4 linked regions of the Arabidopsis thaliana genome follow. The protein of the gene in region 4 interacts with the protein of the main gene of each other region in a pairwise test. Each region holds a gene or a part of one and is shown on either strand. Other genes may lie near its edges.

The links.
Region 1: the proteins of ACT11 (region 4) and CHY1 interact in a two-hybrid assay, tested with the Arabidopsis thaliana proteins (one large-scale study listed by BioGRID).
Region 2: the proteins of ACT11 (region 4) and ADF6 interact in a two-hybrid assay, tested with the Arabidopsis thaliana proteins (one large-scale study listed by BioGRID).
Region 3: the proteins of ACT11 (region 4) and AT4G10080 interact in a protein complementation assay, tested with the Arabidopsis thaliana proteins (one large-scale study listed by BioGRID).

What each region holds. Positions count from the first base shown.
Region 1 is NC_003076.8:26,374,780-26,382,891, forward strand, and holds CHY1 (beta-hydroxyisobutyryl-CoA hydrolase 1), read right to left. Parts: upstream 4,903-8,112; 5' UTR 4,890-4,902; exon of another isoform or gene 4,839-4,889; intron 4,469-4,838; 5' UTR 4,383-4,468; coding exon 4,353-4,382; intron 4,278-4,352; coding exon 4,197-4,277; intron 4,133-4,196; coding exon 4,064-4,132; intron 4,003-4,063; coding exon 3,939-4,002; intron 3,864-3,938; coding exon 3,784-3,863; intron 3,715-3,783; coding exon 3,631-3,714; intron 3,552-3,630; coding exon 3,467-3,551; intron 3,385-3,466; coding exon 3,299-3,384; intron 3,158-3,298; coding exon 3,036-3,157; intron 2,802-3,035; coding exon 2,741-2,801; intron 2,644-2,740; coding exon 2,545-2,643; intron 2,479-2,544; coding exon 2,377-2,478; coding exon of another isoform or gene 2,353-2,376; exon of another isoform or gene 2,301-2,352; coding exon 2,259-2,300; intron 2,183-2,258; coding exon 2,051-2,182; 3' UTR 1,831-2,050; downstream 1-1,830. Other genes in the region: ZWI (kinesin-like calmodulin-binding protein (ZWICHEL)), read right to left, coding at 64-245, 329-428, 514-1,080, 1,157-1,385, 1,476-1,615; AT5G65950 (trafficking protein particle complex subunit-like protein), read left to right, coding at 5,511-5,899, 5,993-6,054, 6,135-6,249, 6,330-6,453, 6,544-6,624, 6,808-7,149, 7,406-7,572, 7,668-8,112. UniProt on the Arabidopsis thaliana protein: Involved in valine catabolism. May be indirectly involved in benzoic acid biosynthesis and in cold signaling and cold tolerance.
Region 2 is NC_003071.7:13,290,423-13,297,207, reverse strand, and holds ADF6 (actin depolymerizing factor 6), read right to left. Parts: upstream 3,256-6,785; 5' UTR 3,038-3,255; coding exon 3,014-3,037; intron 2,766-3,013; coding exon 2,500-2,765; intron 2,411-2,499; coding exon 2,260-2,410; 3' UTR 1,798-2,259; downstream 1-1,797. Other genes in the region: AT2G31210 (basic helix-loop-helix (bHLH) DNA-binding superfamily protein), read right to left, coding at 1-553; RUS2 (root UVB sensitive protein (Protein of unknown function, DUF647)), read left to right, coding at 3,527-3,538, 3,633-3,767, 3,853-3,941, 4,043-4,127, 4,249-4,308, 4,399-4,492, 4,575-4,672, 4,836-5,015 and 2 more. UniProt on the Arabidopsis thaliana protein: Actin-depolymerizing protein. Severs actin filaments (F-actin) and binds to actin monomers.
Region 3 is NC_003075.7:6,297,600-6,305,344, forward strand, and holds AT4G10080 (uncharacterized protein), read right to left. Parts: upstream 5,146-7,745; 5' UTR 4,962-5,145; coding exon 4,110-4,961; intron 2,981-4,109; coding exon 2,855-2,980; 3' UTR 2,420-2,854; downstream 1-2,419. Other genes in the region: AT4G10070 (KH domain-containing protein), read right to left, coding at 628-741, 859-930, 995-1,096, 1,183-1,368, 1,460-1,851, 1,995-2,160.
Region 4 is NC_003074.8:3,853,054-3,860,589, forward strand, and holds ACT11 (actin-11), read left to right. Parts: upstream 1-4,726; 5' UTR 4,727-4,890; intron 4,891-5,052; 5' UTR 5,053-5,062; coding exon 5,063-5,122; intron 5,123-5,234; coding exon 5,235-5,628; intron 5,629-5,783; coding exon 5,784-6,397; intron 6,398-6,490; coding exon 6,491-6,556; 3' UTR 6,557-7,036; downstream 7,037-7,536. Other genes in the region: TET6 (tetraspanin6), read right to left, coding at 170-661; AT3G12100 (Cation efflux family protein), read right to left, coding at 1,688-1,789, 1,886-1,975, 2,064-2,214, 2,310-2,348, 2,479-2,548, 2,892-2,980, 3,112-3,188, 3,425-3,464 and 2 more. UniProt on the Arabidopsis thaliana protein: Actins are highly conserved proteins that are involved in various types of cell motility and are ubiquitously expressed in all eukaryotic cells.

The sequences.
Region 1 (8,112 bases), on a different chromosome or scaffold from region 4:
GTCAGCAACGAAAGGCAAGCCTTTTGTGTGGAAATAAATGTCACCAATGAAGAAAATGCTCACTTGAACATACGAAAGTTGCACAAACATCAGATCTGTTACAGCTTCATCAGACTCTCGGAATAATTTTTTTTTAAATACCAGTTTGCAGTGTAGTATCTCTCCTTTATTTCGATCTTTAATAGCTTTAAATTCTGCGAGGAGATCTCCAATATACTTGTTATCATCCAATCCTATATATTCCTCTGCAAGTGCACAGATAGAAAAATGATCGATAATGTTGTATTACTTCACAATATATGACGAAGCCAGTCATATGAAAGCATACCATTTCCGGGATCAGATGATTTAGAACTTGAAACAACTTTACGACATTCAAACAAACTAAAGCTAGAGAAAGCTGATAGTTTAATTGTTCCAGCTAGCTCCTGAAACAGATGTCAATGCAGTGAGAGAAAAAGGGACAAGAATATGATCAGCGGTAAATTATGAAAAAAGAAAGCAAGAAGATACCTCAACAGCATCAGACACTGTGGTAGCCATGTCATATGAAATTTCTTCAAAAGTTTCATCGAGAAAGAAGACAATGGTTGTGAGCTTTCTACCGGTCAAAAGGGCTTCAATTTCTTCACGACCAGGTGTGGTGTGCCTAGGACCAGCTTTGATAGAGCGCTTTAAAGCTTTCAAAGTGTTAACAGCAAGAACCTGAGCATCCGGTTCAATAGTTGCATCGTGTGCGACATTATGAATATACTCAGATAGATATCCACCGATATCTTTGCTAGGAGGCATAGAGGAGGCACATAAGTACATCAATTCCCAAGCTTTGATCAAGTATTGCCTGTCAGGATTATGTCTAGTCTGTTTGGAGATTTGGGCAAAAAGTTCGTCCCTGAGTTCAACACGCTTCAAAGTTTTTTTGAAGAGCTTTCCAACGAGGTCAATGCGTTCATCTAAACTGGGAGGCGTAGATCGATCAGATGAATCAACACCCATATATTTTAAGATGAGATGAAACAACTTGGTAGCACGGCTGACGAGATCGCTGTTAATCTTGAGGAGAGATGTGGGGATTGGATCCTGAAGGAAGGAAGGGGAGAGAGACATATTCAGTCAATGGATTGTCAATGGGGAAGAAAGGGGGGGAAAGAAAAACCTTTTGAAAGCAAAGCATATCCTCAAATGTGAAGCGCTCGCGGACATTGGAGCCAGAGGACTTTTTGGAATAGAAGAAGCCACGCTTCCCAGCAGACTGGATTTGTTTCTGCATTAGCCGCAGAAAAGCTTCAACCTGGAAGCGATCGATGAGGGGAATGGCGGCGGCAAGCTCCGCAGGAATTGACAATGCCACTTGAGGAGCTGGGGAGCTGTGACAGAGCGAGAGACTAAGAATGTTTTCAAATTTTCAAAGAAGAAGGATCAACAGAGACAGCAGCAAGAGAGTGAATGTTTTTAAAAATTCAAAGAAGACTTACAGAGGAGGAAGAGAAGACGACTCGGCATCGAAATCGGTTCCAGAGGGATTGGGAACATAGAAGCAAGAAGAAACGTCGGTGGCGACTTCGGTGCCATTGCCAGAGCTCAACGAAGAATTACTGCCTCGTTGGCCCTCCATACCCGAAGAAAAAGAGAGATTGTAGTAGATCTGATGAACAAATTTGCCCCAGAAATTTGGGCAGAGGGAGAGAGAGAGATGGGGAGACGAGAGTCACGGGAGATTTTTAATTGCCTCTTCTCATTCAATACTTCACGATTCACCTGATTTTCTAATTATTTTTCGTTTTCAGAAGATGAGACCAAGGAGGAATCTCAATCAAATAAATGAACAATGACTATAGACGTGCTTCCACGTCCGTTTGCCATGGTTGTGCCTCCAACACCATTAACAAATCTTAACACAATTCTGCTCTGCTGCTTTGGTGTCAATTCTCAAATACAATAATGATTTATGTAATGTATGCAAGTCCTATTCAACACAAGTGTTGTTACATTTATTTTCTTTTTTCTTTCCCACAGACGTAAACAATAGTGCTCCATCACCTTCTCCACTTCACAGCTTTGCGATCCCTAAAGCAGGCAAGTTATTCCTTGGCGGAAGCTTTAGATCATCCTCCCGTTCCACTCTCTCGAAGTACTGCTCCACCATGCTATCCTTCATGTCCTCCAGTCGCCTTGGCTCCCACTATAATTTCAGATATTGTTATCAACAATGTCACATATTACCAACCACAAATAACAAATGGAGAGACTTGTTAAACCTTTGGGTTCTTATCTTTGTCTACCAATATGGCTCTGCACCCCTGCATAAGTAAAGACACGCTGTTGTAACTACGGTCTACAACAAAGACGGTTTCAGATGGAAAAAGCTTGCAAAACCTCCACAAAATCTTTGCTGATTTCTCCCTTCATCACATGACACACCATTCTATACTCGCGGATAAGACACTGCCCCACCCCCTGCAATCGCCCTTCCCTTATCTGAAATATATACTCACAGTCAGCTCTTTGTCAACATTGCCTGTGATGCACATTCTGGGAACTAACCGATCTAAGAGAGATTTTAAGGCTTGCTGGTGAACCCTTCTTCAATGCTTGAATGGTAGCTGAGATCCAACCATCTGCTTCTTGAGTGGCCTCTCTCTCCTAAGCAACACATATGATGGTAGAGTGCGTTGTCAAAGGTAAATCAGTCAACTCAGGATCGCAAGTCAACATCTCTATATATAAATGAAAAGCTTACAAGTGCAGATATAATTTCTTCGACTGTTCTCCTTGAGAAACACCTATCAATAACATCTAACCTGCGCAACAAACGGGGAGATAAAAAATAACTGTCCTCTGCACTTTTATAAATTTTCAATTAAAGATCAGATGAGAAATGAGTTCTGTAAAGAGCGATTGAAAACCTGACAGCAATACGAAATTGAAATTATAGAAAAAATGTGTTATAATCATGGTCAATAACCGAGAAAATGTAATCAGGTAAAACCATACTAGTAGAAAGAGTAAAAGAGATAAAAATCATATAGACTTGCCTGCGGTAAGCACTCTGCTGTTTCAGGCGCGGATGCTGGGTGTATGCATCGAGAATTGTTGAGGCAAAAGTTGGATCATTTGAATTAATTCTGCAAAGATCTGCTTCTAATGCAGTCAACCTCTGTGGAAAGGAGTAAACCTAACTAAGTAGCAATCCTTGGTGAAGCAGATAGTGCTTGACACTAGTAGCTATACAATATCTGATGTGTAAAGTCAATTCAGAATGTCTTACGAAATAGACGCACGCAAAGGAAGTTCATACCGTTGAAGGCACAAAATGAGTTGCAAGGCCACAAGCAAGCATTTCAGCACCATCTAATCTAGCTCCTGTGAGGCCAACATACTCCCCTGAACAAAAAAGACAAGAAAGCATTTTCAAACTTTGGTGGCTTTAAGAAGATGCAAAAAAAGGAAATATAGCTTCTGTTACCAAAAAAACCAGGGAGCCTTGACAAGAAGTAGGAGGCGCCTACATCTGGAAAGAGCCCCAGAGCTGTCTCAGGCATGGCAAAAACCTTGGAGAAAGTCGAAAGATATGAGCATATTTTGGAGCGACCTATTTGTCATCCATGGACATGTTTAAGGAAAGATTACCGTGTTCTCAGTTGCAATACGAAATCGACCATGGACGGATACACCAGCTCCGCCTCCCATGACGATACCATTCAAGATTGAAACCTATACGAATTGATGAGTTTATCCACTCGGGAGTGATTTTACAAAAACAAAACGAAATTATAGCGAGACCTGAGCTTTGCTATATGTGGCCATAACATAGTTGAGCATGTATTCAGATGAGAAGTAATTGGCACCGAGTCTCCAGTTACCTAGTCAACGAACGAAGATAGAGAAAGAGTGTATAAAAGCTGAAAGTAAGAAACAGAAAAGAATGGGTGGTAAACCTTGATTGATGTCACGAACAACAGCTGCAACATCGCCACCAGCACAAAAGGCTCTCCCATGACCCTGTGGCAAAGTTATTCAGTACTAAATGTGTGTAAGCGGAAGAGATAAGGATAATGATTACCTTTAGGATGACAAGTTTCACACTAGGGTCCTCCTCAAATGCAAGGAACAGTTGCAGCAATCGAGAGATCTACAGAAAAAAATGAGTCTAAGCCAATACAGTACGCATGTACAAGAAGGGAAATATTCGATACCATGTGGAAGGACAGAGCATTCAGCTGCTTTGGTCTGTTTAGTGTCAAGATTCTAACACTCGATTTCTCTTCCACCAAAACCTGTGATCATATTATTAATTCAGAGAGCGAAGAATTGATCGTCGTAGATTCGGATTAAAGACGCAAGAAAGAGACCTGAGACTGAGAGGCCATCTCGACTGCCATCTTTCTTACTGGTCAGATTCGCCTTTGTATCTCCGGAGAGAGGAGCAGCAATGGGATCAGAAATTACCACTAATGGCTAACAAAATCTTCACCCGCTTAGTTTAGGAAGTTGATATTGGGCCTTATAGTAATCTGTTGGTTTTAATAATGGGCTTTATTTTGTTAATAGAGCAAATGGAACTTTGCTTTTCAAACTCAATTTCAAAGCCCTCTTGCAACATGCTTGATGAATGAGAAGATTATATGTTTTTATCGAGTACGTTAGACATGTGTTTTTTTTGTTAGGAAGCTAGTTTTCCAACTAACCAACACCTCCCTCTAGCATAAAATGACACGTGGGCACCAGATCAATCATTAAAAAAGTCTTCAAAAATTCTCAACAACCACTTCTAAAAGTCAGACATGAAAGCCCTCGCCTCTCGATATATAGATAATTTGCATATACATGAAAACTCAACAATCTGACGCATATGCAACAGAGTTGAAAGATGGAAAGAGCAAGGATACGATGGCCGAGTGGAAGAGGAATTAGGCTGAGGCAGAAGACAAAGAGACTGCGTGCGAGAGTGAGAAGCTTTTTCAGGCTTCTCAGGAGCTGGTGCTGCAGAAGGCCTCCGCTGGTCAGAGAAGACGGTCTTGATTACACATCTATACGTCGCTCTAACTCTTTCTACGCCGATGCAATTGCAGACTGCATTGACTTCATCAACCGCTCCTCCGCTTGACAGCTTCTCATTCTCTTCCAATAATTCTTTCTTCCATTTTGTAAAATCCAATGTTTCTGTATATGCAACCAATTCGAATTCTTTGTATTATTTTATTTTTTTGACGAGTCGATGCATCTTTAAGAAGTGGGCTTATAATGGGCCTGATGATACTACATCCTTAGAAACCACATTAGTTTAAATCAGATCTGACAACTGCAGTGGTTCATACCCTTAAAGATTAAAGGCCCGTTGAAAACCCATTAAGTATTTCACATCATATTCTGGGCCAGATGAACAATCTGACAGCTATACAAGTCCATTCCCTTATCCAAAGGCCCGTTAAAAGCCCACGTAAAATGAATGTGTCAGATCCTTCCTTGCTCGATTCAACGCGTCCGAGTCTCAGACACTCCCCGGCGAGATGGAGGAATACCCGGAAGAGCTCAGGACGCCACCGGTAAGTCTGGTGGCTCTCTTCGGATACGCGGAGCTACACGCGTCCATTACTAAGTATCTCCACTCCCAGCAGCCTCCCATCAACGCTCTGGCCTTCCCCGACTTCTCTCAAATCTCTCTCCTCCTTGCTCATGATGATCAGATCAGCCGAACCTCCTCCTTCAGAGATCCTCTCAGCGTCTCCGATTCTGCTTCTCCCATTCCTTCCAGATGCGGCGGTATTTTGAAACGGGACTGGTTGCTTAAGCATCGCACCAAGGTCCCTGCACTTGTCGCCGCCTTCTTTCCCTCACATCACATCTTCGGCGATCCAACTCAATGGCTACAGGTCTGCTCCGATCTCGACAGCCTCAAGTATTTCCTCATCTCCCTTTATATTTGTTTCCTTGTTTCCCCTCCTTTGTTTCAAACCCTCAAATTAACACTGCGATCTCAATTGCTTGCTAGATCCGTAATCCGTCCCAAAAACATCAAACTGGTGGTTGTCGTGGTCCAGTCTTCTCCCCACGGTAGCGCATTTTATCCGATTATTCTTTTCATTTTCCTCTCGGAACTACTGGTGACTTACTCCTTCCCGACTTGTTTTTAGAGGACATTAGCGACGATCGTCTGGTGGCATTGCGAAAGCGGGCAGAATTAGATTCTAAGTACGTGCTCTTCTTCAATTCCAGCATAGTCTCTGAACTCACGCTCTCTCTCTCCAGGTATGTTTCTCTCCTCTTTTACTTTGCACCTAGAACAAGAGGCTTTTCCTTCAATGCATCTCAACACGGTATGTTTGCAGACTCGCTTCTGCTTTTGCAGAGTTGGCACTTTCTTATTACAGAGAAGAAGGACGGAGAATCAAAAGCCGAATTGAGAAAAGGAGTTCCAATTCTCTTGATTTGAATGTTCGCTACTGTTTTAAAGTAAGCTTTTCTCGTTACCTCTGCTAAGTCTAATCATTTTGTTCCAAAGTATCTGGGAAAAGGAAGGCTCATTCATGCCATGACTGCTAGGTCGCTGTATATGCAGAGTTTCGTAGAGATTGGGGTGAAGCACTGAAGTTTTATGAAGACGCATACCATTCCTTGCACGAGGTCTTTATTATCTCTAAGTATTTTGTTTTTTCCCAACCCATCTGTCACGCTAATATGTATTCTGCTTCTAGTCAAGAAGTTCCTTTTGATGCATATATGGTCATTGCTTTCTTATTATTACATATCTTTGCCTGCGGTTTCCACACATTCAATTTCGACGAGCAATTTTGTTTATGCAAACAGATGATCGGGACATCGACTAGGTTGCCTGCAATACAACGCTTGGTCGAGATCAAAATCATAGCTGAGCAATTGCATTTCAAGATATCAACGCTTTTGTTGCATGGTGGAAAACTCATAGAAGCAGTGACATGGTTTCATCAACATAAAACATCATATGAAAAGGTTGTCGGATCCACAGAATTTATTTTTCTCCATTGGGACTGGATGAGTAGGCAGTTTCTTGTCTTTGCTGAGTTGCTGGAGACAAGCTCAGCAACTGGTCAGAGCTTAACATCCTCAAACCAAGGAACTGCGGAAATATCTTTGACTGAGTTTGAGTTTTACCCTGCCTATTATTATCAGGTCAGTCAATTCTGCTCTATGTAACACATAGTCGGAACATATCTAAACTTGGTGGTGCATTTTGTGTTAAATCTTTTCTGTGTCTTTTACCATTTAGTTAAAAACAATACTACATAAACTTAAACACCTACCTCTAAGCAAATGCTGGATTTTTCGTCCTCTTTCTCATAAATTTCTGAGCTGTCTGTTCCTAGGTACAGTATGTTGAAAATATAATATGTTCTTATCCACTGGGAAATTTTCGTTTTACACGCAGTTGGCTGCTCATTACTTGAAGGATAAGAAATCTGCCCTGGAACTGTTGTTGTCAATGTCTGAAATAGCTCAAGAGATTGATAGCAGCTCTGCATCTATTACTCCTTCAGTCTATGTGGGTCAGTTCGCTCAGTTGCTTGAGAAGGGAGAAGCTATTACACTTCACTCGTAAGTTGTTCATAATTCATCCCACAAATCTATGTAAAAGAAAACTAATTATGCTACCACCATCTCTAATAGTATGAATTCTAATGTATTTGCAGTATAACGGATGAAGAGTACACACGGTATACAATTTCAGAAGCAAAGAGAGTTCAGGATTCCCTTCAAATTATTGCTTGGCTGAAGAGATCTTATGAATCATTTACCAACCTTAAAGCCCAGAGGATGGCTGCTCTTTGTGCCTTTGAAGTAGCCCGGGAGTACTTTGATTTGGCTGATCCCAACAACGCAAAATTCTTTTTCGATATTGCTGCAAACTTGTACAGACAAGAAGGTTGGGTAACTTTGCTCTGGGAGGTGTTGGGTTACCTGCGAGAGTGTTCGAGAAACCTTGATGCTTTGAAAGATTTTGTAGAGTTTTCACTTGAAATGGTTGCCCTGCCTGTAACATCTTATGAGAATTCTGGGAACTTAAGAAACAAAAATTATGGTCCTGGAGGTCCTGCAACAATTTCAGGAAGAGAAAGTATACATCAAGAAGTTTTT
Region 2 (6,785 bases), on a different chromosome or scaffold from region 4:
CTCCAACATTAGACTCATCTCTTTGAGTAGTAGTATTGGTATCAATACCAAGCAAGTACCCTGAGTAGTCATTAGAAGGGATCAATGGAGGTTGTGGAGGAAGGTTTAAGTGAAAGAGCGGGTCATACGTGAAGCAAGAACCCGCCATTATATCAGAGCTTGGTAATGACATAGAGCATCTAGGCAAATGCAAGAGGCTGAGAAGATCAGGGATTGGAGTTGTTGTTGTGTTTGGATGTGAAGTGTTCATGAAGAAATTAGAGTTGTCTTCAGAAACACCCCAATTCGATTCTTGAATCATTTGGTTGATCAAATGGTTGTTGTTGCTGATGTTTTGGTTCTGAGTTTCTGAGTTTGGGAGAGAGATAACAGAAGGGAAAACAGAGAACTCATCCATTGTTGGGAGCTTAAGATCGTCATCAAAGCTGTTTGTTGTGCTTCCAAGCGGTGGTTGAAACTGGTGGCTTACCGTAAAAGTTGTTTCCGCCGCACAGAAGCCGCCGTTGTTGTCCACCATCGAATTAGGATCAAAACATGAACTTTCCTCATACATTTTCAACTGATTTTTTTCTGCAACCAAAACTAATTTTCACAACCATAATTAATCTTTAAGACAAAAGCCAATCTAAGTTAATTTCATTAAATAAAGAAAGTTTGTATAAACTCAGTTAAAACCTAATCTCAAACTAATTCCCTTAAGCACCTTTCTTTTAGATTGGAAAAGAAAAATCCTCTGTTTTTGTGTTTTGATAGCTTCTCTTCTATCACTTTTTTAGTATTGATTCAAAAATCAGACTTTGTTTAGAGAATGAAATTATCTAATTACCAAAAGTTAGAAGATGATGATCTTTTTCCTTCTTTGTCGTCTTTGAAGGTTACCACCAGCTATATTTCAGCTTCACAATGTCAAATCAAAGATCATTTCAACATTTAGAGCTTAAATCAAATGTAGGAAAAAAGAGAGAAGCTTTTTTGGTTTGCTTTATTTCTGTTTGATGGAGTTTGGGTGTGTGTTTGTGTCTTTTGGGTCTTTCTTGTTCCCATAGGAGAGGGTTTTTTGGACGTGTTTGTATTGTTTTGGACAGCTCTCTACTAAATACTTCAAGACAGAGGAAACAATTTTTCTTTTCTTTTTTTTCTTCTCCCTTTTATGAATGAGAACAAAATGGTTCCAACCTTTAATTTCTGACACAAACAAAGCTTTAATTCTTTACTAAGACATGTTCTAATATTTGGAGAATTATTAGAAAGTTTAGTTATTTTCTTTTAAACGTAATTCAAGCCGTGTATTTATAAACTACTAGAGTTTGGAGCAAGAAAAATTAAAACTAATGAAATATGTTGGAACTAATAGATATATTTTACTTTCCAGTTCCACTTCTTATTCTAAAATGTTCCCCAATGTCAAACAAATAGTGGATACATGATGATAATAGACTGAAGGAAATGGACCTTAATATGAGATATGATAAATAAACATATAAAAATAATGCAATCTCCTTCCTAATTGAGATTTCAGTTGGGTCATGCAATCTCGCTTTTGGCCACAACGGCAATGGACCCCACTTGCAACCTCCTAATTCCTTACATTTTTTCTCAAATGGTCAAGGGTATTTATGTCATTTTGACTCCAGTTTGGTAACATTTTTCTTTTTGACATCACAGTTTGGTAACAGTTAAGCAATTAGGAATTAGGAATGGTAGGTTAAGTATACAACCTCATAAAATGGTTTTGCTCTCAATGGAATCGGAAGGGGATATGCGGAAACAAGAAAGAGGTTTTTTTTGTTTTGTTTTAGAAAGCAGGTATATGATAGAACTATTATACATACAACTTAAATTTTACTACACCGAAGAAAGTGAGAAAAAGAAACCACAAATGATGAGGGAAACTTTACACACTACCACTTTCTATATTGTTCGCAAGGATTAGACTCGAATTCAAGATGGCTACAACAAGAGCTTATACAGAATTTGCTAGACTAGTTTAAGAACTCTCTCATCATGCTCATCAACATTCTCGTTATCTACTAAAGAGAAGTTTCTTCTCCCTCTTAACATTACTAATATATCAACCTTTTACGATCTTAAACCATATTCAGTTTACCTAAGCTTTAGGTTGTGCAATCTGAAACACCAGAGGTTATACAGTTTGACATAGAACATGAAACTGTGTTTACACAAATCAATCCACAGAGAATACGAATTATTCATTACATTACCATAAGTTTTGAATAGACATAGCAATCTTGCTTGCTCTCAGTTCGCTCGTTCGCGTAACACTTCAAGATCAACCTCAGTAGGATCAGTAGCTTGAATCTCATAGTGAATCCCTTGAAGCTCCCTACTTAACTGGTCTTTAGAAGTCGAGTAAAGCACCTTGGCTCGAATTCCAGAGGTCGAAGGAGACCTACAACATCAGTAGTCCCAAATCAAAATGTTTTAGTCTCAACACATCAAAACCCTTATAGACTTACTAATGGTAAAAATCAAACTAACCAAGCAAAGAAGAAGATTTTGCTCTTTTGACAATTCTCAGAAGTAACGAAATCAAAGTCATAAACAGCGTATCTGCAGTCATTATCAGGAAGTGAAGCTAAGAAATCATCGTAGCTCTCTGTAGGATTTCCAGTTTTCTCAACAACAACTTCTTTTTTGGATTCATCAATCTTGAAGACCACATAGCGATGAGTTTTTTTCCTTTGAAGCTCTAGAAATGTGGTTTTGCTCTCATCTGCAACACCCATTCCAGATATTGCATTTGGCTACAGATATAAAACCAAAACACATATCAAAACCATACCAAAAGATTCGATTTTTAATCCAAAATTCATCGAATTGACTTCATCTAGTGATCTTAAACCCTCAATAAGAGTAAAAATGGAGATGGGTTTAGTTTTTTTTAACATCGACTTCATAAAAATCAAATTTTTAACATTGAAGATGCTTGCGACATAGACAAGAGTACATCGATTTTAAGCAAGAAGAGAAAAGTTTTTTTTTGTAATTTTACCCTGCTAAGTCCTCTGAAAGACATGGATTTGATTCTGCTTTCTTCAGACACCACAGAATTGGGTTAGAGAGACGAAGACGACACGAACTTATCAAACAAATAAAATCGGATGCGTCGCTTTGTTCTTCGTGCACACTTTTGCTTAGTAATTAAGTTTTTGAATTTTTAACTTTTTTTGGTTTATTGCAGAAGAAAAAGAAGTGTTCGGTCGGTGGCGTTAGAACAACGCGATAAGAAAAGTCGTGTTTCTTTTTAAGTGGGCCATATTTGTTGCCCCTTAACTAGTCGCCGCGTATCTATCAATATTGGGCCTTAATTAAGCCCATTAGTGAATAGTAACAAAAATCATTTGGGCCTCAGAAGTAGAAAAGGAACGAAGAAACGACGTCGTTGTTAAGATAATCTCTTTGATTTTGTTTTTAGACGGCTCTAGGCGATTACTGTTGTGGTGGTTCACTCCAACTCCGGCGACTCTTAACGTTCGGAACCTGACTGTGCCATCGTGTCTCAGAGATGCAGTTTCTTGTAGGATTTCACAATCTTTATTCTATTGTATTTTTAATCTCATTTTATGATTCTCCAAACTATAGTGAATGACTTTGTAACTTGGGGAACGAAGCAGGAGAAGGTGAAGTTGATAAAGAAGGAAGACCCAGTAATGTTGAAGAGCCCTGAAGACTTTCCGGTTTACTGGTTCGAAACCTCTGATTCTGTCTCTCACCGTTATCAGTTCCAATCCGACGGCCACCTCTCTGTAAATCTCCCTCTCCCTCGTTCTTGTCTCTCTTATGCCATTGCTCTCAACTTGTAGAATCATTATGTGAATTATCACGTTTTAGATGAAAGTTGTTGATGATGCAAGACCTGTTCCTCAGAAGATGGTTGAATCTTTCCTTAACAAGTTCTTTCCTTCTGGTTATCCATACAGGTGAACTCAAAGTTTGGAACTTTTGTTTTTAGAGAGTCTCTAGGCTTTAGCCTTAAAGCATGTGTTTTAACCAAGTTTCTTTCTTTACTTCTTCTCTATAGTGTCAACGAAGGATATCTTAGGTACACACAGTTTCGAGCACTTCAGCATTTCTCTAGTGCAGCATTATCAGTGTTATCGACTCAGGTCTTCTTCATGATTCAGCTTTGATTATTGATTTTGGGAAAATTGCATTTGTTTACTTGAGCTGTTGTAATGGAGGTTTTCACATGGACACATAACTTTTTTTTGTATCATTCCTTTGCAGTCACTGTTGTTTGCTGCAGGCTTGCGGCCTACACCGGCACAAGCAACTGTTGTTAGCTGGGTATGTTAAACCACTTCAGTTTGTTTGTTCGTTTGCTTGTTCAGTCCCTGTCCGTAAGTGAAAGTTTTGTTTACTCTATTGGTTCTGTAGATATTGAAGGATGGGATGCAACATGTCGGAAAGCTAATATGTAGCAATTTGGGTGCAAGAATGGACTCTGAGCCTAAACGGTGGAGGATTCTGGGTATGCACCATTCTGTAGCTACATGTTTCTGCTGATGTCTTTATAGCGTTAACTATAAAAAGTATTGATTCATAATTTTCAGCTGACGTGCTTTACGATCTTGGTACTGGTCTGGAACTCGTTTCTCCATTATGCCCGCATCTGTTTCTTGAAATGGCTGGTCTGGGGAATTTTGCTAAGGTATAGATATCTTTCTTAGAACATCTGTGCCTGCTTTCCTCAGCAGCTTCAATAGGAGACCTATGAGATATATTAGCTTTCTAAAGACCATCCTTTTATACATCAATCAGCTTCACTGGTTTCCTGTTTTTCATACTTTTCTGGCATTGTTTGTTTTAAATAGGGAATGGCTACAGTTGCAGCAAGGGCAACAAGATTACCAATATATTCATCTTTTGCCAAAGAAGGAAATCTTAGTGACATTTTTGCAAAAGGAGAAGCTATCTCTACTCTTTTCAATGTTGCCGGGATAGGTGCTGGTATTCAACTTGCGTCCACAATATGTTCATCAATGGAGGGAAAGGTAATGTCATTCTGCTACATCGTTACTCTCTATTTCAAAATGCAGTTTCTATTTGTTTGGATTGCAACTCTATTATGAAAAGGCTGATATCTGCAGTTGGTGGTTGGGTCAATTCTTTCGGTTGTACATGTGTATAGCGTTGTAGAACAAATGCGAGGGGTACCAATCAACACACTGAATCCACAGCGAACCGCTTTGATTGTGGCTAATTTTCTCAAGGTAATTAGCATCATCTTTTGTTCAATTTTTCTGTAAACCATCTTGTTGATTTCTTTTAATTACATAAGAGGTGTTGTTGTATCTTCTCAGACTGGTAAAGTCCCAAGCCCTCCTGATTTAAGATTCCAAGAAGACCTAATGTTCCCCGAGAGACCAATCCAAGACGCAGGAAATGTAAAAGTGGGAAGGGCTCTCCATAAAGCTGTGAAGCCTTCTGAGGTACAAAGACTAAAACAAGTGTTTGTAGAAGAGAAGTTTCTATTGAGTCATGGAAAGTCATGGACCGATATGGTCTTAGAGCACGATGCAACCGGTGAAGATGCATTGCGAGGGTGGTTAGTTGCAGCATATGTCAAGTCAATGACAAAGATATATAATGACCCTGATGACATTATATTGCAAGACGCGTATGACAAAATGAACGATGTCTTCAATCCATTTTTATCTCAAGTGCAAGCTAAAGGATGGTATACTGATAGATTTCTCGATGGCACGGGGACAAGATTTGCTTGGTAGCTCCCGAGTTTCGAGTAATTTTGCTATTGTAATTTTTTATTGTTTCAAGTATAAACACGAATTTGTAGGCGTAAGAAGTCTTTATCCAGATCATGAATCCACAATCTAGTACTTTGAAGACTTAGATGGATTAGATTAGAGTGAGATTGTTAGGTGAAACAAAAGTTTGAAGGTACGGTTCTTGTCCTCGTTTGTACTTTTGTTTTGCCATTGTAAGTTTACATATTTTATCATATATATCAATCAAAATGGAATCTGATTAATGCTTTTTATGGATATATATATATATATATATTTATTTAAAGTTAAAATAGTTCTCTTGGTCAAATCTTGTGTACGGGCTCTATTTTTCCTTAGACCTGGACCCTTCCTTAGTCTTCATTTTGGGATATTTTGATCAGTGAAAATGTCCCAAATATATCACTTTTGTTGCATGTTGTTACATATAATATTTGATAAATGCAATTATCAGAACTACCTTATACGAGGGTTAGCCAATGCTACTGCCTACTGGACACATAACTAGTAAGATTCTGATAGAGCATGAGAGGAGGTAAAAGATTTTGTTGGTTAAGTTGTGTTTCAGGTTTGGTTAGACTTAGACCAAACTTAATTTCAAATTATCATTATGCATGTTGTTAATAAATAAAAAAAACTACAGAAAATAAAAATGTCATTAATGTATTAAAATTAACATTTCAACCTTTCATGATTATTTAGCAATTTGTTAAGTGATGAAAATGTTTACTTTGTTATTCTTATACAGATTTCAAAATTTAGTTGAGACATTTTATTTTAGGGATAGCTAGTTGGATCTGATTGAAGAAGATAAGTAACACCTTTTTAAATATTAACTAGTGAAATGTTTAAGGCTTCTTTACTTTTGACATGCATGTATAATCAATAATGCAAATCAGCCGACCCTTGGAAAATTACAAAAAGAAGCGACAAAGTTAGTAGTTGAATGGACCCACAAATATCTAGATTTCGTTAGGTCACGATCCATTTGAATTTATCAATTATCAAACAAAACAC
Region 3 (7,745 bases), on a different chromosome or scaffold from region 4:
TCGGCACCTTCAACATTAAAAAAAATCATGGCAACCGACATCGAGGATGAAACATATATTGTTCTTAGCAAGTTTAAATGAGCACATGAGTTTTTTCAAGTTAGTGTTCTTATGGCAGCAGTAGATCAACTAATCCTTACGGGGGGGTGTTCACAGAACATGCAGCTATTTAATGACCCCAGGAGAAGGTATGTTGAGAATACATTTTCCATATATATTAGACGATGGAGAGTAATAAGGATTTCATAGCTTAGCATTATTCGCAGGAGAGTAACATAAATCTAAGAAGGAAGCACTATCTTAAACAGCACAACATGAGTACATTATTCAGGTAACACTTAACAGACCTAGCTAGTTGTACTGCCAGTTATGGAACATAGCAATACGAACAAAAAGTGCCTACAAACACTAAAACAGATGATGGGAAACTTTATGCAAACACACATATATATTACCTCAAACAAAATTTATGCATAGTAAAATTGAAGACAGTATCAACCACCAGCATAACATCCCAACCAAAGACGAAATGAAACATATGTCGCATTCAGGCACATGATAGCAACAAACCAAACTCAAGAAAGAATGGGAGCATGCATCGTTGAGAGTATAGTATTAGAAACAAACCTGGTTCATAACATCTTTTATCATGTCAGTTGCTATATCAATCTGCATCTTATCTCCAGATATACGGACAGTCCTCTCCTTCAATCCATCACCTTCTGCATGTTGTGGTATTAACTACACAACAAATTTTAAAATCAGTTGTCACATAGAATGAGACAAGGTAAACACGTTTCCTAAAATTTAAATACTTTCAGTCAGTTTCTATTTTTAACATCATACACAAGTAACCACCTGAGTACGTGCTCCTGACCTTGTCTGCATATTCTTGATTGTCTCGCCACCTCGGCCAATAATCAGACCAACCTGTCAGTTGAAGCTGAATTAGATATGATTAAATTGTTGCTGGAAAGAATAAACTAGGGAATACCTTATCATTTGGAACTTTAATCTCTATCTGTTCTGGGATCCCTATCGCATGAGTGGAAGGATGGCCCCTAGCAACTAGGGCAGGTGAACCTCCTGCTTCAGCCTAATGTAGTACGAGAAGAAATTCTTGTAACCAAATATCTTACAGATACAAAGATGCCAAAACTACTGAAAAAAACAACTGTTAACCTCTGCTATGACTGCACTGATAAGCTTCTCAGCACTTTCAATGCATGCAACACTTCCAATTATCTCCACTGGTCTTAACGCTGAGCTCGGATCAGCTTCTGAATCCCTCAAAATTTGGATTTTGGCACCAGAGTTAAACTGAAGATACCGTATAGTCTCCCCACCTTTACCAATCAACACACCTACCTGCAAAGCATTGTGATAAGCACGTCAGTGAAAGTATTCCGAAAGAAAAAAACTCACAGAACAGCCAAAAATGAAAACCAAATCATATCACCTTTGAACTTGGGACATCTATCCTACGAGTTGTCGACTGTGTGCCATCAACCTCCTTCTGAGATTTTTCACCATCCACTTCCTTATTTTCTTCTTTACCATTCTCTTGAGAACTACCATCATTCACTTCCTTACTATCGTCATCAATCACCTTCTGATGTTCACCACCATTGACATCCTCAATACAACCTTGTTGGTTATCCTCAGGCTTAACCTGATCATCTGTTGGCTGATCTACACTACAAATCTTATTTTCAGACTCATCAGCATGAATAGGATCCTGAACTTCCTCAACAAGTGGTACAGAATCTTGATTCTCTTCCTTAGGTTCCTGAAGCTGTTCTTCCTCTTTTACCTCCATTGAAGACCCATTTTCTTGTGTATTCCCATAATCTACAACAAAGGCCGAAGAACAACAATGAGAAAGACTGATTTATCAACAAACTCAAAGAAATCTCTTTTTTTGAAAACTATAACCATAGAACATCATAAAAATCAAAACTTTAGTTTATAAGAAGCCAAAGAGACAGAAACACCTAAACCATCTTGAGCTTCATCTTCTAGCTTCGCTCGTTTAGCCTGAGAAGAATCAGATGTTTGATTGCTATCATCCACGATATTTCCATTAAGCTCAACTTCGTCGAGCTTTCGCTTGAGATCGACAGGCGGCGTAGAGATAACAACAAAATCTTCCTCCGTCATCTGGAAACGAATCGTCCGGCGAGGAATTTAGGGAAAGCTGAGTACTGTAGGGTTTGGGGAAGAAGAGAATTATCTCCGGCAGTGAAAAGAGTTTGGGTTGCGACTCTGAACGGTGGTGGAGAAGTAACGTTTAAGGCTTTAACGTCTATTTATAATGTTCGGGCTTTTATTGGGCCTAAAAATGGGCTACCAGTTTTTTTTTTAAAGTTATCAAAAATAATGATGTTTTCTTTGTTGATCGTCGAGGGGATGTTGTTGAGACGATAGCTTCTACTCAAATTTTGTAGAATCGACAACATAGTAGAAATTTGTAGGGTCTTTATTTCCATTGTAGTGGTTTTATCGACTTTGGACTATGTCCTCCTCTCTATAATAGTTTACAAGCTTGAAACCCCAATGAAATCCATAACAAAACCCACATATAGCTTATGAAATTCTTAAGATCAAACATAGAAAAAGGCTTACCAACTGGGATTTTCAGTCTCTGAACATACATAAATCGCTACGGTAATCACTCTGCAGTGTATCCCACGGTTGGGACACGACTCACATACGCGATTTCATAAGATGGTAAACTACTACTTATGCATAGGTACGACATAAACACATGTATTTGTATTCTTACGGTACATAAAGTGATGGACATTGTATGATTGATTCTCCACTGTGTCTAGGTATTGTAGAAAACGGCTTCTCATCTAAGGCTCAAAACCGGCCATGCGCCAGGCGATGGTAGAGCAGGGCGGATCACAGGGACCCTTCTTACCTCTGTGAACACTTCATTGAGTCGAGCAGCCTGACTCATCACCCGCGACGCCTTCTGCACAGATCATAAACAACCCAAGACGTGATAATGATAGAAGTAAACCAACACCAAACAAATACCAACCAAGCAAAGAGATGTGCGCTAAGGGAAAATATCAAATCACAGCATTTTCAGCGGATGATGCCTCAGTATTTTTGTACTTAATTCAGACAGATTACAAGAACATATTAACTACAAAATCTATATCTTAGAGGGGGGTATTGGACATAAATTCTAGATTTTCAGGTATAATAAAAGAATTTCGAATCTTTCTTCTCAATTCAAATAAATATTTTGCAGTATTTTTAATAGAATTCTACTAGAATTAAGAAGATAAATTACTGAAATCTTTTGTTCCACAATGCTCTTTATCGGGACAGCCACCATGCCCAATCTCTAAAAACTGTACTTTTTCCTTCACAAACCTCTTAACCCAGAAACAATCTACGTTGACGTTTACATGAAATGGAAGAGATCCATATTTTGACAACAACGACAACGACGTCATCACAACCTCCGCTCATCTGCTCTCTATAGATTAACGCACTCTCCTCATATATAATCGAACGAATGATGATCCGAAGAATAAACCGGATCGAAATCACAGATTCTAATAAATGTGTTAAACACTCTCCCTCAGATTTGAGAATTTTTTTTGTATGGTTGAAGCAAATCGATGAAAGAGAAAAAAAGGATGGATGTGTTATATTCTATCCAAATCTCAACTCAAAAACTCAGAATTTGTTCTTCACATTTTAGACCAATTTTTCTATTAAATTCTTGTGAAGTAACGTTGTCAAACAAAACTACCGAAAACTGAATAACACTTGCAACTAATAGAATTAAGAAATGAGCAAGTTAAATAACACAAGAATTTAAAAGAATTTGTGAAATGTCTAATTGAATAACACTAGAATTTAAGATTCTATTGAAGTCTATCAAATTCATGCGTCCAATACCCCCACCTTAATATAAGGCAGGACAAGACAAGAACTAAACTAAACTTGAAATTCTACGGCTCAAGTCAGACCAATTGCATCAACACAACATAGAGTGTAGCTAACTCCTAAAACGTATCAATCTAGACCAGCTTACCAACTTCAAGCAAAATGAAAACACAAGGGTCAATGATAATATAGTGTACCTTATCGTCAATCGTAACTTTAAGATGGAACCTTTGAGCTTTCTTCTTCATATTATACAATCTACGTCCCAAGAGAACCAAACCCATCACAGCAGCAGCCATAGAGACAGACCAAACCGGACCAATCCTAAACACAGAGTACTTAAGAAGCACAAATGGCATCTTCCACCACACAGTCTCTCTACTTTTACCCTCACCACCAGAACTCACGCCTCCAACTTCCACAGTATCTCCTCCACTTCCCTCAATTACTTCACTAGAAGCAACTACACTATCAGAAACAACTTCTTTTTCACCATTCACAACCCCAGAATCTCGAGAAACCAATTCATTTCCCCCTAAATCAGAACACAACTTGCTCGAATCCTCAATAGGTTCTTCAACACCCGATTCGTTCTCACCGTGCCTTCCATCAACGAATTCTTCGAGATTCTCTGTTTCATAGTGAGATACGGTTCCACCAGTTAATTCAGTAGCAGCTTCGCTCTCAACATATTTCTCATTGGCAGCTTCAAAATCACTAAGCCTAACCTCACCATCACCCAAAATTCCAGTTTCTGAATCATAAACCCCAAATTCATTTCTGACACAATCATCACCCGATTGACTAACACTGAACTGATCCAAACCAGAATCAACACTAACCTCACCCGGATTCAGACACTCCGACCCGTAATCAACCCGAAAAGAATCAAAATAACCCGATTCAATCACCCGATCAGTAGCAGAGAAATGATCAGAAAGAATCATACCGTCATCGATTACGCTTGAACTCTCTAATTTCGTCTCCGATGTGATTGAATCAGTTGATTCTGTATCAGAGCCATGATGAAGAAGCTCCCAATCATCCATGATGATCGAATTCGAAGATTTCAGATTGGGATTGCAATAATCAGAAACCCTAATGGATAAAACCCCAAATATTGGAAAAGGATCGCAACAAATTAGAGCGGTTGATGATGGAAAAGAATGGTTCTTATCCACTTTGAGAAAGTAATTACGTGGAGGTATCTAATTGGTTGCGTGTCAATCTCAGTCCTCAACTAAATTTTTTGGCATTAAAGTTTAGTAGATTCAGAGAACTATAGTATTTATTCATTTTGTTCTTTCATTTTTATTTTATTTTTTAAAACGATTTAATTAGGATTCGGCAATAAATCGTATGGTGCGGATCAAATGAATTAAACAAATATGTATCGGTTAAAATAGAGTAGACGATGTAAGAAAAATATATATAATCAAGATTCAAACGGTTGAGGTGGGTTTTGCAAATAAATCCATCGGTAGATTGAAATATTTTCTTATTTATTATTTATAGATTAGTATTTATAATAGTACTGACCAAAAATATAGAAAAAAAAAATCGGTAAAAACTTTAGACCGATTTTATATAGAAATAAATTTAGTTTATAACGGATTATTGTCCGCTCCAAAATTAAATGGTTTAGTCTCTAATAGTTTAGTTTGTTTCGAAAAGAATGGTTCTTATCCACTTTGAGGAAGTAGTTATGTAGAGGTATCTAATTGGTCACGTAACATTCTCAGTACTCAACTAGATCTTTTGACATTAAAGGTTGGTAGATTGAGAGAAGTATGGTATTTATTCCTTTTGTTCTTTCATTTTTTTGGTTTTTCACAATGATTTAATTAGGGTTCACGACGAATCGTATGGTGCAGATCAAATGAATTAATCAAATACTAGATGATTTACCCGAACTATGTACAGGGAGAAATAGTTATATGAAATATATAAACAAGTTTTTGGAAACAGATTTTATATTATCACTTGATATATAAGTGTGAATATTTGAATATGATTTAGTAACTGATATATTTTGGAGATTTTATTAGTTAGGAATTAGGATATTCTATATTTGGAATAAGATTTTAAATTAAAATATTGACCCAAAAGAAAATCTGAAATATCATTCCTATAATTCAGAAATATATTCGAATATTTTTTGTATTTTATAAGATTTTATTTTGGAAACAATTCAATATAAAAACTGAAAAGAGTATGAATAATTATGTTTTAAACGTAATAAATTTTTGATTATCTTTTATTATTCTTCATAATTCTATGTAGTTAGGATTGATTTATTGCATATCCCTTATTTTATTAATCAATTTATATTGTTACGATAAGGTTTTGGGTTGTAAATAAATTTTAACTAAAATGAGTAAATGACTAATTAAATTGAATAAACTGTGTAAAAGTTTTAATAAATTGATAAGGTAAAAATTTGAAAAGAAATAATATTGAAAGTAATCAGTAAGCGGATACATTTTTAACATAGATTAATATTGAAATATTGTTCATAGTGAATGTGTAATAAATGAAATGTTACTAACTAATTTATGTAAAACTATGTTCCGAATATATTCAAGAATCATATGGGCTCACATATACATTTAGATTTTTTGCAATTTATAACAAAAAAATAGAATGTCATATATGTTAAAATTCTAAATGTTTTCTATAAAACCTAAAAAAATAAAGTACGAAACATATAATAAACATTTATATTATATGTTGTTCATCATAATTTATGATATATACTTTTTACTTGTTTGCTCAAATATATATGGTTTTTTGATTAATTTTCTTTATTAATTGCTACTCTCTTAAATGTAGAGGAAAAATATGCATAAGTACCACTAATGGCATTATATGTAATTAGTCTAGTAAATATTGGATAACTATTAAGTTTGTTGAAAGTTTTTCTGGTTACGACATGTCAGCATGATAGTCTTGTAAATCACACGTGAATGTAAGGTTTTTTATTTAAAATACTTCTCAATTAATATATAGGGGATGTATCAGTTAAAATAGAGTAGACGGTCTAAAACCATCTCCAATGCACACCTCTATTTTTTTCTTTCATTTTAGAGACAAATTTATTTTAGAGGAAATTAGATTTTGCTCCAATGTATTCTTCTAAAATAGTTTTTTTCTCCAAAATAGAGAAAATAAATAGATTTTACTCTTTATATAGATTAAAACGTAAGATTCCTTTATTTTAGAGAAAAATCTATTTTAGAGACATATATTGAAGCAAAATGTATCTAACATAGAATCACCTCTAAATGGAGAAAAAAAATAGAGATGGACATTGGAGATGTTTAGAAGAATATAGATTCGAGCGGTTGAGGCGAATAAATCTTTCTGTAGATTGAAATGTTTATTATTTATTATGAATAAATTATCATATAATAGTGTAAACCAAAAATTATAGAAAAAACCCCGCTAAAACTACATACCCATTTTCTAGAAATAAACTTAGGTTACAACGGATTGTTGTCTACCCCAAAATTTGGATGGTGTAATCTGCTAATGGTTTAGTCCGCTTCGAGTAACATTTAAGCAAATCGTTAGTATAAAATGGGTAAAATAAGTGATACTCAAATACATATTAAATAATGTCAACTTTAAAATATTTTAAATATTTTTCATGTTTCAAATAATTTTCTTACAAAATATATCATTTAAATTCTTAAAGAATAAACAAATTTTAACAAGAAAGTAAACGTGAACCATACTTCAATTCTTAGTCCAAATGTAGTTCATACAAATATGACAATAATTTAACAAAAAATAAGAAAAAGTATTCTTCCGGGTTAAAAAAATAGATTCGA
Region 4 (7,536 bases):
AAAATTCGTTTGCCTTTTTCATTTCTAGTCACATGCTTGCTTTACACGCGATTAGAAACGAAGAAACAAATAAAATCAAAGGCTTAAATTATCATATGATAAGATATATATTAGATTACTATAGCAATTTGTTAAGCAAGCATGAATCATGTCATAAAGTAGATTGTACCTGAACAGAAGTCATGTCTCTTTGGAAATAATCAAGTGTAGTCCAAGACTCAATCTTAGTACAAGTCTTGGAACTCAAGATACAGCTTCTAATGGAGTTCCAATACTCAGGATCCCTAACTCTCTCTCTCAACCATGGATGATAGTCTCCAAGCCTATACTCTTTATAAATCCTCCCTGGCACTTCCACTCCACCTCCTTGGCTCGTCACCACCAGACCAAATAGCGTTAGACCCATTAGGGTAGCGATGAGGAAGATCATGACCACTAAGTACACCCAAAGAGCCCATGCCACGTTGAAGCAGGCTCCTATGAATCCCGCAAGGGAAACTATGAGTATGATGAATCCTATAACAAGTAGCGGCGTCTGGAGGAAGTTTTCACATGTCGTGCTGCTTCTTGCCTTGTATAAAGCGGTTCCGATGATTGGAATCGAGGCTAGTAAGGTGAGAAGGTTTAAGACCCCAATAACTGTGTTGCTGAATCTGTACATAGTAGTAATGTTATCAAGAAGAAATCAGAGACTTAACACTGCCTTCTTTCTTTTGTAAGCAGATTCTCTTCTTGCAATGTGAATTTCATCAGCTTTATCTTACAATCTTCTTTTTCTAGATATAATATTGGTTAACTCTACTTTTGGCTTTTGATTCTCTCTTATCAATTGGGAATTTTTTAAGGGGAAAGGTTAAGAGTTAATGGTTTGATGATTCATGATCATATTCTTTTGGTCCTCTCTCTCTTGAGTTGAATCAATTAAACAATAACATTAAAACCGTATAATTTTCAAATAAAAGTGTCTTTTTGAACAATTGTTTCTTGTTTATTATTCTATATTATACGTTTTTGTCGTTGGAGTTGGTACAGAGCAGACCACAACCAAGAGAAATCAAGTAGTGCCTTCATTAAAATATGTTCTTAAGACATTACACCATAAAGAATACAACTTTTTCTAGCTTTTAGTCCAAAAACTGCAATCATGGTTTATATAATGGATGATCACAAGTGGAATAAAATAAATGTGCTATGTTCAATGAAGCATAGGAGTAAGCAAAGAATAATATATAGACATGGACGGGAGATGATTTCGTAATCGATGAATTTTCTTTCTAAGATGCTTTTAGTGGCCCATTCCTCGGAATATTAGGTTTTTAAGATATAGCTTGATGTGATCTCCGATTCCCCCACTTCCTTTTTTATCGTATAAATAAACGAGAAGGAATGCTAAAATCTTGTCTCAGCTCATATTGAATTTTTGTGTGTTTACTTTCACATTTAGCAAATGATATATGTTTTAATTCGCCAATCATTATGAGCCAAAATATCCACAAGCTTGAAGATACAAAGGTTTGTGGTCTTTGTGTGGTTGAAAATTCACATAAATGAAAAACAAACAAAACAATATCACAAAGTCACAACTTGAAAATTCACAATATTTATATTCCTAAAGAACCATGATCTCTAGTATACATCCAAAAATCTTCAAATCAGCATTTAAAAACAAAGAAGAGGCAGATGCAGCTTAGGTGTAATCAGTTTGCAGGGTCAAGTCTTGTACACCCAAATCATGGTATACATCATATACATATTGCAGTAATGGTCTTTCATCTATTCCGCTCTTCACCTAACGCCGATAAACAAAATAACAAACCCAGTCATTTCCATTTCTAGTGTGAGCTCATGTTTTAACCGATATAAAAAAAAGGAGAAAAGTGAGTACCTGGAGTCTGAGTGAGCCAACAGTGTGACCAGGCACAACCTCCCAGAAACGTGCCTGTAAAACCTCCGTTACATCTTCTCGAGAAGTAATCTGTACAGAGAGAGAGAGCTGAAGAGAAGCCTGGTTTGATCAACAATGGGAAATATGTACACATTCGAGGAACGATTTATGAGCGAACCTGTCGCAAGCATTTGCTTAAAGCAGAAGAAGGAATGTTTGGGGGTGCCATCTGAAGCAAGACACCACCAGTGGCTTTGAAGAGTGGCATAACAAGCATAAACACTGTGACCGATACCAATCCTAAACATAGGACCTCTGCATTTTCAACCCTGAAAAAGCCAAGGCATAAGGAGCAAAAGGAAAATGTAGTCAAGCAAGAAGACACTTTTATTCATTTAGCTCCTTCAAAGAAAGCGAGTATTACCCGAGCGAGAGGAGCCAAGATGCCAGTATCAAACCTGCACTGAAAAGACAGCAGCAAAGAAAACTTCATGTTGACTGTATATAAGTTTGATGCAAAAGGAAGCATTTTCTTTTCTATATAGCTTTCTCCGATTCTGCTTGAAATTTATAAAGGCAGAGAGGATTAACACCTGCGGATGGAATCTGATATGACGTGCAAGCAAACGGAGTGATAATTCATATCTTCTGCTTTTCTGTAGGCTGCAGCATATTGCATATTATGAATATAAGAAAAAAATTCAAGATAACATGTGGTTTTTAGATATGTAAAGAAGGGACAGATAATTTCAAGAAGCAACGAATAGTCGTTTGACAGATCAGTTACAATTATGCTGACTCTCTCTTTCAACTAATCTTCGTACTGATTCTATCTTAACCAAACACCCTTACTTCTTTGGCTTTAAAGCGAAAACTGACAAGGGTGGCCAATTTCTACAAATGAATACCAAAGCCACCAACAAAGGCTATATCAAAATATAAAGCAGCGTATGAGCATCAATTCATACAAGTCTAAACAGAACTTAAAATGCAGAGAAAAACATACCAATATTGACACGAGCATAATTCCGGAAAAACCAAACACCTAGTAGGTTCACCAGCAGATTTGTTACCGCTGATACAATCAAATAATGCCTACATAAAGGAAATCTCAGTAAATCACACTACTGAAAGGAACAAGAGGGAACAAGTACTGTAAACTTAGTAAGTGCTAGAGATATATATAGAAACTCCTAGGCATGTCATTTGTGAAAATATCAACTTACTTATGCTCTGATTCATCTTGTATAAATGCATGAAGAGCTTCCACAGCTAAGGAGAATGACATGAACATAAGGAACAGCTGTCTACACATATGTCAAATATTAAACAAATCAAAGTATTAACCAAAAAGATAAACTACAGAGACAATGAAAGGCAAAACGAAAAGATAGATTGTATGGAAGTCCAAATCTTTTTAACGAGCTGTAAAATACTCTATTCTATCAGCAACAGTAAAGGAAAGAGTTTTAACACTGAGTCAAGCCATCTACACTAAAGCTGGAAATGACATCCAAAACACGTTAAGAACATACTTACAGCATTAGTGAAAGCAGATAAAACTTCAAGTCTTTTGTACCTGGGAACCCAAAAAAAAGAGAAGACAAGGATGCCTAAATTACAACCACTTGAGCATAATCACATTACAGTCTCGGGAGAAAAATAGATCATAAAATGGATTAACCAACTGAGCCAATCAAATTACTTGTAACTCACCCGTATGAGTAAGCATGATCAGGCTTCTTCCTTGAAGTTGCCATTGCAAATAAAGAAAATGTCAAGAGACCACAACCAAATGTCAAATGGAATGCATCAGAGACCAAACCTGTAAGAGTCCACAAAACAATTCAAAGAAAGAATATCAACAATTCAGAGATTCAATCCTAAAACAAAAAGAGAACTGAAACCAAATCGTACCTACACGACCAGTGAAGATACCAATAGAGAGCTCTGTTGTAGAATACAACACATTAAGCGCAATTAGCAGAAACAGTCTCTTCATCTGCCGATTTCCACTTGTCACTACTCCAAAAACCTCCCAAACCATTTCCAAAACAGACACTTTTGCCATGTCTACATCTTTCCCTTCCCCGAAAAACACATCACTTCCATCAACGGAGTAAATATCCGGCGGCATATCGATGCTCGAGACCGTCCTATCGAGAAAAGGCTTAGCCGCTTCCGTGACCGCCGGCGTTCGTGGACCGTGAGATTGCTGAAACGAGCGAGAATAAGCAAGCCTCCGATCATTAGCAGCATATCCGACATCGCTGCTCCGATCATCAGGGAGCTCGTTATCGCCTCGAGGATTAAAGGAAATGGATCTCTCCATTTTCTTCTTTGATCTTAAAGTTCCAACTTCGGCAAATACTAAAATCAACAGTCAGTCGTACAAAGAAACTCTGCTTATACAGTAAAGTCAATGGGCCACTGTTCTAAGCCCATATATAATTTTAGAAGCCCATAGAATACAAAAGAGTCAAGAAGCATTGACCGCACAAGAAAAAAACAATTGTTAAAAAGGGTTGGTTAGTGTGTATGTATATATGAAATGCAACAAACATTATACAGCCCATTAAATATGGTTGTTATAGGTAGATGTCCCCATTAAGGAACTTTATCCAGCCCATTAAATTACTTTACAGAGTAAAAGAGAGAGAGAAGATTTACAGTTACGTTACCAAATTTTCGAAATGATTTAATTAGTAATAAATAAATAATTAAATGTCAGTTACTCTCTTTAGAAAGCTAAATAAGACAGCTGTTTCCACCAACAACGTGACTGGTCGTGGGGTCCTCCTTCGTTCAAAGTGATATTCAGAAATCAACGGCTGAGATCTTCTCCATCAATATTTATTACGGGCCTATTCCTTCCTTTTTTAAACTTCAATTCTCCGGCTCACATTCTCTTCTTCATTCGCTCCGTTTCTCTCTCAAAAACTACACACCCGTACCACACCACCACCCTCCTCGTTTCCTCAGAGATCCCCTCTCTAACTTCTAAGGTAATCACATTTCCATAACGTTCCATCGTCATTGATTCTTCATTAGTATGCGTTTATGAAGCTTTTTCAATTTAATTCTCTTTGGTAGATCTTAAGATTCCTCTGTTTCTTGCAAAATAAAGGGTTCAATTATGCTAATATTTTTTATATCAATTTTGACAGGATATAGAAAATGGCAGATGGTGAAGACATTCAGCCTCTCGTCTGTGACAATGGAACCGGAATGGTTAAGGTACATCTTTACATGACCTTTGTGGATATAAATCTGATAACTTTTTCTTTTATTATTTTTGGATACAATGCTGTTTTGTCTGGTTCATTCATATGTGTTTCCAATTCCTTAGGCTGGATTTGCTGGAGATGATGCACCAAGAGCTGTATTCCCTAGCATCGTTGGTCGTCCTCGACACACTGGTGTCATGGTTGGTATGGGACAAAAAGATGCTTACGTTGGTGATGAGGCTCAGTCTAAGAGAGGTATTTTGACATTGAAATATCCTATTGAGCATGGTATTGTTAGCAACTGGGATGATATGGAGAAGATTTGGCATCACACTTTCTACAATGAGCTCCGTGTTGCACCTGAAGAACACCCTGTTCTTCTCACTGAGGCTCCTCTCAACCCCAAGGCCAATCGTGAGAAAATGACTCAGATTATGTTTGAAACTTTCAACACTCCTGCCATGTATGTCGCTATCCAAGCTGTTCTTTCCCTCTACGCTAGTGGTCGTACTACTGGTAATAAGATCTTCAACACCTACACCATTTTTTTAATCACTACTACCCATTGCATTGAACAAACTTCCAAGTTCTTCTTAGCTTCAGATTAAGAAAGTACCCTTTCTTGGCTTTGTTGATGTGGTACCATTGTCCATTGTCTTGTGTGTTTCCAGGTATTGTGTTGGACTCTGGAGATGGTGTGAGTCACACTGTTCCAATTTATGAAGGATATGCTCTTCCACATGCTATTCTGCGTTTGGACCTTGCAGGCCGTGACCTTACTGATTACCTCATGAAGATCTTAACCGAGCGTGGTTACTCATTCACTACCTCAGCAGAGCGTGAAATCGTAAGGGATGTGAAAGAGAAACTTGCTTACATAGCACTTGACTACGAGCAAGAGATGGAAACAGCAAACACAAGCTCATCCGTTGAGAAGAGCTATGAGTTGCCTGATGGACAGGTGATCACCATTGGAGGAGAGAGATTCCGCTGCCCGGAGGTTCTGTTCCAACCGTCTTTGGTGGGAATGGAAGCTGCTGGTATTCACGAGACCACTTACAATTCCATCATGAAGTGTGATGTGGATATCAGGAAGGATCTGTATGGAAACATTGTGCTCAGTGGTGGAACCACCATGTTCCCTGGAATTGCTGATAGGATGAGCAAAGAGATCACTGCTTTGGCTCCAAGCAGCATGAAGATTAAGGTGGTTGCTCCACCAGAGAGGAAGTACAGTGTCTGGATTGGAGGCTCCATTCTAGCATCACTCAGTACCTTCCAACAGGTAAAATCATCATTCGGTTTTATATGGAATTTTGTGTCCTTTTTTTTTGTTGCCCATTGTTAATGTGATACACAAAATGTTGTTGGTGTGCAGATGTGGATAGCAAAGGCCGAGTATGATGAGTCAGGGCCATCAATAGTCCACAGGAAGTGCTTCTAAGATTAAGCTCAAATCAAAGTGATGAATGATTGTTCTGTATTGGTAAAGCCTTTTGTTCATCGACTTTGTTGCAAAATATTCTTTTGTTTTCTATGTTTCTTCACCACTACATTACATTTCTTTCTTGTTGTTATCCTCTTTTGGTGTTTCTGCTATTAATCGAAAAAGAAATTTTCTTTTCTTAGTTTCTTTTTTCTCCTCTTCTTAATTCTGTGAAGATAAAAAAGAAGGATGAAACCAGTGGCCAGTGGGCATTGGATTTGGCTTTTTATTTTAGGCAAAAGACAGGAGTTCTTTACAAAAAGCTAATTCTAAAAAAGAGGAATCTAAAGCCGAACCACATGATTGGAGTTATAGAAAGAATAGTGACCTGCCAACAAAAACAGTACGATTAACTCGGCATTTTTAATTCATCGACATGGTCAACATGGTCAACATTGTCACGCTTCACTTCATTATCACAGTATGGAATACAGCGCCAGTAATCATAATAATATTTTTTTTAAACAATGTGCTCAGTTTGATAACTACTCTGACGAAGCATCAAACGAACAGACAAAAAACATTGGAACCCCCGAAACTATGATCCAAATTCCAAAACCTAAAACTTAGAGAGAGCAATTGTTAAAAGAGTTTTGTCCCTCTTATACACTTGGCAGGTCTTAAACAAGAAGTTGACTCAAGTCAAGATTCACTACGAGCACGTAACTATTAAAAGTTTAAGAAATGCCAATAGGGAGATAGTTTTAGTACAAGAGTTTTACTGTCCGAAGGTCACATTTCTACGATCCCAACAAAACAGCGATGAGAAGAACAATACCGACACAAAACATTTGAACACTAACTTCCCACATAACATAATGAGCAGCCAAAATGTCATAACACAACAAAATGGACAATAAGATTATTAAAACGAAGCATAGCTTCTTTAACAAAAGACAAACAGACAAGAGAAAGGTCGACAATTTCTTCACCATCAT